2 linked regions of the Schizosaccharomyces pombe genome follow. The protein of the gene in region 2 binds, or shares a complex with, the protein of the main gene of each other region. Each region holds a gene or a part of one and is shown on either strand. Other genes may lie near its edges. A codon is read from its position in the direction of its gene.

Region 1 (6,049 bases), on a different chromosome or scaffold from region 2:
GGCATTAAGAAATCGCCGAATCGCAGATTCTGTTCATAAACTGAAGAAGAAGGAGTTTCTTCTGGTCTATCAGCCCGTCGACCCTGGGTAATGGTTTCCGCAGAGCTCTCAGATTGATTTATATCAGCAGGTTGAGACATTGTAGGCGGTAGTAATTGTCACAATGATTACTTTTCCGAATCAAACCCTCGCCAAATATTCTATCCCTTAAAACACCTGTACGTAGCTAAGAGGATTGAGTAAATAGGTATTTATAAAAAATTGTTGAAGGAATAGTGAGAAAGGAAGGCATGATTGGAAAGGTTGCGATCATTTTCTATTACGCATATCATAATCAGAATACCAAATTGAAAAAAAGAACGCCAATTCTACAATATCGAAGTCCTCCCATTAGTTCGTTAATGAGCATACAATGTTTACTTCGTTAAAGATTGTCGGGATGAATTGAGCTTAATCAGAGCCGAGCATCGTTGTACAGTTTACTAAATGTAGAGCTAAGCGATAATACGCTAACTTACGGTATCGGTTTTTGTAAGAATACACCGAATTTCGTTAAGTACAAAGTATTAGTAGTAGTATGAAACAAAAATAACAGTCACAGCCAAACCCAAACAATTTCAGTTACTGTGTTATATACTAGTTCATCGTAACCACAGCAAATCTCTTTCTGCAAAAGGATCAGGATGGGTATTACGAGAGATTCCCGCCACAAGCGCTCTGCTACCGGTGCTAAGCGTGCTCAATACCGTAAGAAGAGAAAATTCGAGTTGGGTCGTCAACCTTCCAACACTCGTATTGGACCTAAGCGTATCCATGAGGTTCGTGTTCGTGGTGGAAACAAGAAGTTCCGTGCTCTTCGTCTTGACTCTGGTAACTTCTCTTGGGGCTCTGAAGGTGTTTCCAAGAAGACTCGTATCATTCAAGTCGCCTACCACCCTTCTAACAACGAGTTGGTTCGTACCAACACTTTGACCAAGTCGGCCATCGTCCAAATTGATGCCGCTCCTTTCCGTGTTTGGTATGAAACTCACTACGGTATTTTGATGGGAAGCAAGGGTAAGAAGGCCACTGCTACACCTACTCCCAAATCCAAGCATGTTCAACGTAAGCATAGCGCTCGTCTTGGCGATTCTAAGGTTGATTCCGCTTTGGAAACTCAGTTTGCTGCTGGCCGTTTGTATGCTGTAGTTTCCTCTCGCCCTGGTCAATCTGGTCGTTGCGACGGCTACATCCTTGAAGGTGAAGAGTTACATTTCTACCTTCGTCGTATGGCTCCTAAGAAATAAGGTTGTTTCTTCAATAAATTAGTTCATAAAGGAAGGAATAAAAGGATTCCGAGATTGTTGTATTTCACCTGTATTGTTGATTATTATCAGTAACCAAGGTCGTTAATTATGTAGAGAAGGTAATTTTTATTATTGGCATTTAGAAAAGTGTCTGCTAAATGTTTAGTAATCTCTCCATTTGTCCCAATCAGTAATTGAAATTCGTTTATGTGCTATTAGATATGATTTCTTTACTAAATCTCATTGAACTACGTTTAGTGAAGCCTTTACCTTTTTAATAAAAATTCACGCTAAGTAGCCTTTTACACATAATGAAAGAGTTGCGAATTGCTTTGAAAGGAAAATGGCCTTTCACGTACCTTAGCTATATTGAATGATTAAAACAAGTAAAAGATATAAAAAAACTGGTTCTTTTTTTGATGCTTAAAGACTTTTTTACTGAACACAAAGTCGAATTGCCACTACGGTACGATATCCTTGTTACGGTAGCCTCAACATTTATTCCTCTTCCTCACCGCCAACATATCCTGTTGCGTGTGCCATTTCAACAACAATGTCTTATGAGGATTGTAAGTTACTAATAAAGTCATTTTTAACACCATAATAGATCAATACAATGAGACATTGACTCAGGAGGATTGTTGGACCGTGATCTCGTCGTTTTTTGAGGAAACGTCGTTAGCTCGGCAACAATTGTTCTCTTTCGATGAGTTTGTTCAAAATACTATGCAAGAAATTGTTGATGATGATTCCACTTTAACTCTAGATCAATATGCACAACACACGGGTGCTCAAGGAGATGTTACACGTCGATACGAAATAAATTTTGGACAGATTTATCTTTCAAGGCCTACAATGACTGAAGCTGATGGTAGTACAACTACTATGTTTCCTCAAGAGGCGAGGCTTCGTAACTTGACTTACTCGTCTCCTTTATACGTTGACATGCGTAAAAAAGTTATGGTTGCTGCCGATTCTAATGTTCCCATCGGCGAAGAGGAGTGGCTTGTTGAAGAAGAGGATGAAGAACCCTCAAAAGTTTTTATTGGAAAGATACCAATCATGCTCCGTTCTACTTTTTGCATTTTAAATGGTGTTAGTGATTCTGAATTGTACGATTTGAATGAGTGCCCTTATGATCAGGGAGGATACTTTATTATCAATGGCTCTGAAAAGGTAATCATTGCTCAAGAGAGATCTGCTGCCAATATTGTACAAGTATTTAAAAAAGCCGCTCCGAGCCCCATCGCTTACGTTGCTGAAATTCGCTCTGCTTTGGAACGAGGTAGTAGGCTTATTTCTTCTATGCAGATTAAGTTAATGGCACGTAATACTGAGAATTCTGGTCAGACAATTAGAGCAACACTTCCATATATCAGGAGTGACATTCCTATCGTCATCGTGTTCCGTGCTCTTGGAGTTGTACCTGATCGTGATATTTTGGAACATATATGCTACGACCCAAATGATTTCCAAATGCTTGAAATGATGAAGCCCTGTATCGAAGAAGCATTTGTGATTCAAGATAAAGATATAGCTTTGGATTACATTGGTAAAAGAGGCAGTACTACTGGTGTTACGCGTGAAAAACGTCTTCGATATGCCCATGACATTTTACAGAAAGAGCTGCTTCCGCATATTACTACAATGGAAGGTTTTGAGACTAGAAAGGCGTTTTTCTTAGGTTACATGATCCATCGTATGCTTTTGTGTGCGTTAGAGCGTCGTGAACCAGATGATCGAGATCATTTCGGGAAAAAGCGTCTTGACCTTGCAGGTCCATTACTTGCATCTCTGTTCCGTATGCTCTTTCGTAAAATGACTCGCGATGTGTATAAGTATATGCAGAAATGCGTTGAAACAAATCGTGAATTCAACCTTACCCTGGCTGTGAAGTCAAACATTATTACCAATGGTTTACGTTATTCATTGGCTACTGGTAATTGGGGAGACCAAAAACGCAGTATGGTTAATCGGGTTGGTGTATCACAAGTTCTTAACCGATATACATTCGCTTCAACTTTATCACATTTAAGACGTACAAATACTCCTATCGGTAGAGACGGAAAATTGGCTAAACCCCGTCAGTTGCACAACACACACTGGGGTATGGTTTGCCCTGCTGAAACACCAGAAGGACAAGCTTGCGGCTTAGTCAAAAATTTGTCTCTAATGAGCTATGTTTCCGTAGGTTCACCCAGTGCTCCAATTATCGAGTTTTTAGAAGAATGGGGTTTAGAAACACTGGAAGATTACAACCCTTCAGCGTCTCCTAATGCAACAAAGGTCTTCGTGAATGGTGTGTGGTTAGGAGTACATCGTGATCCAGCTCATTTAACAGAGACGCTACGCAGCCTTCGTCGTAGATTGGACATATCTGCAGAGGTTAGTATCGTTCGCGATATCCGTGAAAAAGAGCTTCGTCTCTTTACAGATGCAGGTCGTATTTGTAGACCATTATTTATTGTGGATAACAATCCTAATAGTGAAAGAAGAGGAGAGTTATGTATTCGTAAAGAGCATATCCAACAACTAATAGAGGATAAAGACAGATATGACATTGACCCCGAACAACGCTTTGGATGGACCGCTTTAGTATCTAGTGGTCTCATTGAGTATCTAGATGCAGAAGAAGAGGAGACGGTTATGATAGCAATGAGTCCGGAAGATCTTGAAGCATCACGTCAAATGCAAGCTGGGTATGAAGTTAAGGAAGAACTGGATCCTGCACAAAGAGTTAAGCCAGCTCCTAATCCTCATGTGCATGCTTGGACCCATTGTGAAATACATCCTGCGATGATTCTTGGCATCCTTGCTAGTATTATCCCTTTTCCTGATCATAATCAATCACCTCGTAATACTTATCAATCTGCAATGGGTAAACAGGCTATGGGAGTTTATCTTACAAACTACCAAGTACGAATGGATACCATGGCAAATATCCTATACTATCCACAGAAGCCGTTGGCGACTACTCGATCGATGGAGTACCTAAAGTTCCGTGAACTTCCTGCTGGCCAGAATGCTATTGTCGCCATTCTATGTTATAGTGGCTATAACCAAGAAGACTCCATTATTATGAATCAAGCTAGTATTGATCGAGGATTATTCCGCAGTATTTTCTACAGAACGTACACGGACCAAGAAAAGAAAATTGGCATGACTGTTATGGAGGAGTTTGAACGGCCGGTCCGGTCTACAACCCTAAGGATGAAACACGGTACGTACGACAAGCTTGAGGATGATGGTTTAATTGCTCCTGGCACTCGAGTGTCAGGCGAAGATATTATTATTGGTAAAACAGCTCCAATTCCCCTAGATCATGAAGAATTAGGTCAACGTACTCAGTTACATGCAAAGCGTGACGTTTCCACTCCTTTGAGAAGCACTGAAAGCGGTATTGTTGACCAAGTAATGGTCACCACTAACCAAGAAGGCTTAAAATTTGTTAAAGTTAGAATGCGAAGTACTCGTATACCCCAAATTGGTGACAAATTCGCGTCAAGGCATGGTCAAAAAGGTACCATTGGAATGACATATCGTCATGAAGATATGCCATTTTCTGCACAAGGAATTGTTCCTGATATCATCATTAATCCACACGCCATTCCGTCTCGTATGACAGTTGCTCATTTAGTCGAATGTCAACTTAGCAAGGTTTCTGCTTTATCTGGTTTTGAAGGTGATGCCACACCTTTTACAGACGTTACGGTTGAAGCGGTTTCTAAGCTGTTACGTTCACATGGCTTTCAGTCGAGAGGATTTGAAGTTATGTACCATGGTCATACTGGTAGGAAGCTTGTTGCCCAAGTTTTTCTTGGTCCCACATACTATCAGCGTCTAAAGCATTTGGTGGACGATAAAATTCACGCTCGTGCTAGAGGACCTGTGCAAATTTTGACTCGTCAACCCGTTGAAGGCAGATCTAGAGATGGTGGCCTTCGTTTTGGAGAAATGGAACGTGATTGCCAAATTTCTCATGGTTGTAGTAGTGTATTACGAGAACGTTTGTTTGATTGTTCTGATGCGTACCGAGTTATAGTATGCGATATTTGTGGTTTGATAGCGATCGCCAGTTACAAAAAAGACTCATATGAATGCCGATCATGTCAAAATCGTACTCGGTTTAGTCAAGTTTATTTACCGTATGCTGCCAAGCTTTTATTCCAAGAATTGATGTCGATGAATATTGCACCGCGGTTATTTACTAAAAACCATAAGTAGTTTTGCTTATTTGAATAAATTAATACATAAACATAGCATGAACATACAGAAGGATGATCGGTGTGATCTTAAAGAAGCTATCATTTATTTACATAAGCTACTTAAATTGTGTTCTAACAGATATATATATTATTTATATAATAATAATGTAGTTGTTACCTAATTTCGGCTTCAATTTAAAGTTCAATTTCCTTAATAATTGTAACAAAATTGTTTATAAAAACACTGGCTTCTCTTTTGGAAAATATAGACGATTGGCAGAAAAGACCAATTTCGAGGTAACCATCTCGAATTGCCAACTCAAAATCTAACTTGGGTTTGTTTCCAAACAAAATTTCACAACCATCAATGGTGGTTTCAACTTCGTTAATCTTTAGTTCCGCATTGTTGAGTTTCAACGGGTATACGCTGAAAACTTTACTTGGTTCATTGTTATCACCAGTTGACAAGAAATTTACTGCGATATCCATCATGCCATGAACAGGGAGATCCAGCAAAGATATGTATTGTAGGTTTCCCGAAATCTCATTCAAAAAAGA
Region 2 (3,110 bases):
GATTGGAAAAATCCTCCTACGATTTTGCAAATTCAACTTGAGAGAACATCATATACCTGCCAAGGTTTAACCAGAAATAATGTTTCTATCTCATTTCCTAGCAAACTTATCCTAAAAAACAAACATCATTATATTTTACGATCCTTAATCACCCATTCCGGAAGTGTTACTTATGGTCATTATCTTTGCTATAGACTTCAAGATGACATTTGGTGGAAGGCTAATGATTCTTTAATTACTAAATCATCTCTCAATGAAGCTCTCAGTCAAACTCGTTCAGCTTGTCTTTTGTTTTACGAAATGGAATCTCCTCTTGCGCTTGATTAGCGCATATATGCTAGTTAATCGTATACGTTTTTGTACCTTAATAAAAAATTCTTGATATTTCTCCTAATGATTCCGACTGATGTCACCCTTTATAAACTGTTGAAAGCTTCAAATTATAACCTGTTGTTTTGTAGCTAAAGCATTCAATACTAATATTTTGCAAAACTTGTGTATGAAAATATATGTATGTATGTATCCACCGTATCTGTCCATAAAATCGGTTTTCTTGACTTTAAGATTTTCAAGTGGACGATTTTTTATAGGCATGGTTAAAGTACACATGGCACTTTCAAACCGTCGCCAAATGACTTATAATTTACTAAAAAAAATTTTAGATATACTCATCATGTACAATTCACAGTTTTTAATGCATCAAATATCCAAAATGTTATTATTGTCATGGGTTATCCATTTAACCCCAGGACCTTCTAATTTCTCGAATTAAGCATAAGGACCTGCATATTACACCATTTTTAAGCCATTTCTCAAATTTTAAAAGTTATAATTCCGTTTTTCTCTTTTCATAGTCTGAAAACTCTAAAACTTAGCGTGCTTCGAACTGAACCATTCTCTTGGTTCTCATTTTGTACATAACACGATGCCCACACTCTCGACAACGAATAACTTCTTTCGCTTGGATTGTATTACGCGCTCCGCAATCTGATGGTCAGTCTTTTATCATATACTCATTTAATTCTACTCAATGATCATACCCGCACATAAATAAATCATAGTGGCTGGTCTGGGGGGATTGAAAGCGGTACCGCCAGTGGAGGTTGGATGATTCATTTTGTAAACTTTTTTAGTGTATTTGAGTCTAGTTAAATCCTGTGATTTTACTTCCTCACTTGAACTTTCTAATTGTGGTGGTGAGTAGTAGCGCGCAAATTTTTACTACCATACTATTCTCAATATTAACGCTTCAAAAAAAATTGGGAAGCTAATCTTATAATACATTAATGAGTTAAAAGTTCTCATTTAAAGTACTTCAAGTACATTTCCATTTATTGGATATATAAACTTCAAATATAATTTCGTATCTAATTTTGACGTTCTTTTAAATTTAACCTTTATTAAATCTAGCAAAAGAATAAAGGGCTGGATACATAATTTTAAATTTAAATCGATAAATAACTAGATTGTTTAATTTATATTTCATAACAATTATGTGTACGTGTGAGGATAAATACAATAGCTCAAAAATAATGTATTCCCCGAGTTCTCCAATTTTTAGTGTATAAATATACGATTTCTTTGTCTTGAAATTAGTCCTGGTAATTAGTTATATAAAGCATTCAGAAACACTGTATGCATTAAAGGGTAATTCCAATTGAAATAAGTGCCTTTTTTTGCAGAACTTTTATCGAGTAATATTAATTTTCCTTTCATTTTAAAAAAATAGTTTTGACTTCTAACCGCTTTTAGAAATTTAGAGGTTCCAGTAATAGAGAAATCAAGTATGAAACAACTTTAACGTTTATACTATTTCCTAATAAGCGATACATACATTTTTCGGTTACATTAGACTTTGACCATTCGAGGCTTTCCGGGAATCCCATTAACCTGGCGACTTCTCTGGCGGTAAAATACCGAAGTTGTAAAGCCATCCGGTTCCTCTCAAATTGCTCGTGCGTATTTTCATGATCTGACATCTGCAAAATTGAGCCTGCACCTTGTACTAAATGTGTATATCCCCGTGTAAAGCAACAGCAGGAAGAGCTATCTGGCTTAACTATATCAAACTGATGGCCCCATTTATTTAACACAGACTCTAGTACCATATATGAAGACCAATCTCTTTCTATCTCCAAATAATCTCTTATTCTTTTTACTTCGCCTTCTTTTTGCGCTACCTCGCTAAATTGAAAAACATCATCAATACTCCATTCTCCTTTGAAATTGAGCCTAGCCAATCCATACCATCTACTGCGAGAATTAGGAATGTTGAACTGGTTTGGACTCAAAATACCTTCAATTAGGTTGTAACCACAATTCCTCAAAACTTTCCTGCACTCTTCAGCTGCCTTGCTCTCCTCAAAACCCTGAACATTCTCAATTAGAATGTACTCAGGCAAATTATTTACATGAGGAAGCACATTTAAAATATTTAGAAATGCTTGGGAACGAGGATCAAGAATATCTTTACGGTTTCCTATTCTAGTAAAAGGTTGACAACTGGGACTCATAGTCCATAATTTACAGTCAAATGCATCAAAATCCTTGGCCGTTAAAGTTGAAATATCCATCTATAAGTATTAATATAGTTATCGAGTAAATCCTTGAAACATACGTGTTTAGCAAGTTTTCCATGATTGAGGTTATAAATTTCATTTGCCTGTGGGTTGATATCTATTGCACACACAATATCAGCCGGTATATTTGCCAGGTTCAATGCATAGTGCATACCTCCAATACCAGAATATAGCTCCAGGACCCGTAATCTTTTTGTACTAAGCATTGAATGTAACCGAGCATGCAACACTCGGTAATCGTTTAGTGAGGGTTACAAAAGACCTACCTGCATTAGATTTTTTGCTTGGATTTGTTAAGCTTGAAAAGTCATGAGCATTTCGGGCCTTTTCAAAAACGATAAAATGTTTTTTAGTATTAAAAGTAATTAATATACAACATGATGACTTAAACAAAACTGTACGTCTTTTTGAAGCTAACTAAATGAGATCTTTTAAAAGTTTGTCCATTATTGTGAAACATAAATTCATTATGATTATATACAACCAAATCGCCTTTAAAACTAATTTTCCTTTTCCACTCTTTTACCGCTT

The links. Proteins that work in one complex are often made in the same cells at the same time.
Region 1: the proteins of rpc10 (region 2) and rpb2 are in contact, whole or in part, in a crystal structure (PDB 3H0G), measured with the Schizosaccharomyces pombe proteins. Residues at the interface, in NP_595688.1 of Schizosaccharomyces pombe: Met20 (codon at 1,059), Tyr22 (codon at 1,053), Asp26 (codon at 1,041), Ala35 (codon at 961), Lys36 (codon at 958), Ile39 (codon at 949), His46 (codon at 928), Arg47 (codon at 925), Val48 (codon at 922), Met49 (codon at 919), Tyr50 (codon at 916), Lys51 (codon at 913), Met52 (codon at 910), Arg53 (codon at 907), Thr54 (codon at 904), Val58 (codon at 892), Gln59 (codon at 889), Phe60 (codon at 886), Arg63 (codon at 877); in NP_593101.2 of Schizosaccharomyces pombe: Glu91 (codon at 2,148), Glu103 (codon at 2,184), Arg107 (codon at 2,196), Val776 (codon at 4,203), Arg841 (codon at 4,398), Met860 (codon at 4,455), Glu862 (codon at 4,461), Glu883 (codon at 4,524), Asp884 (codon at 4,527), Asp885 (codon at 4,530), Leu887 (codon at 4,536), Ile888 (codon at 4,539), Ala889 (codon at 4,542), Pro890 (codon at 4,545), Gly891 (codon at 4,548), Arg893 (codon at 4,554), Ile937 (codon at 4,686), Asp939 (codon at 4,692), Gln940 (codon at 4,695), Val941 (codon at 4,698), Met942 (codon at 4,701), Val943 (codon at 4,704), Thr944 (codon at 4,707), Thr945 (codon at 4,710), Leu950 (codon at 4,725), Lys951 (codon at 4,728), Arg958 (codon at 4,749).

Annotation. Positions count from the first base shown.
Region 1 is NC_003424.3:848,837-854,885, forward strand, and holds rpb2 (DNA-directed RNA polymerase II complex subunit Rpb2), read left to right. Parts: upstream 1-1,799; 5' UTR 1,800-1,839; coding exon 1,840-1,855; exon of another isoform or gene 1,856-1,893; coding exon 1,894-5,510; 3' UTR 5,511-5,549; downstream 5,550-6,049. Other genes in the region: sst1 (calcium permease), read right to left, coding at 1-140; rps802 (40S ribosomal protein eS8), read left to right, coding at 684-1,286; ferrichrome synthetase Sib1, read right to left, coding at 5,687-6,049. UniProt on the Schizosaccharomyces pombe protein: DNA-dependent RNA polymerase catalyzes the transcription of DNA into RNA using the four ribonucleoside triphosphates as substrates. Second largest component of RNA polymerase II which synthesizes mRNA precursors and many functional non-coding RNAs.
Region 2 is NC_003423.3:1,673,741-1,676,850, reverse strand, and holds rpc10 (DNA-directed RNA polymerase subunit Rpc10), read right to left. Parts: upstream 1,213-3,110; 5' UTR 1,117-1,212; coding exon 1,041-1,116; exon of another isoform or gene 988-1,040; coding exon 872-987; 3' UTR 663-871; downstream 1-662. Other genes in the region: ubiquitin hydrolase Ubp11, read left to right, coding at 1-327; pmt1 (DNA methyltransferase), read right to left, coding at 1,749-2,573, 2,618-2,785; ATP-dependent RNA helicase Cdc28, read right to left, coding at 3,102-3,110. UniProt on the Schizosaccharomyces pombe protein: DNA-dependent RNA polymerase catalyzes the transcription of DNA into RNA using the four ribonucleoside triphosphates as substrates.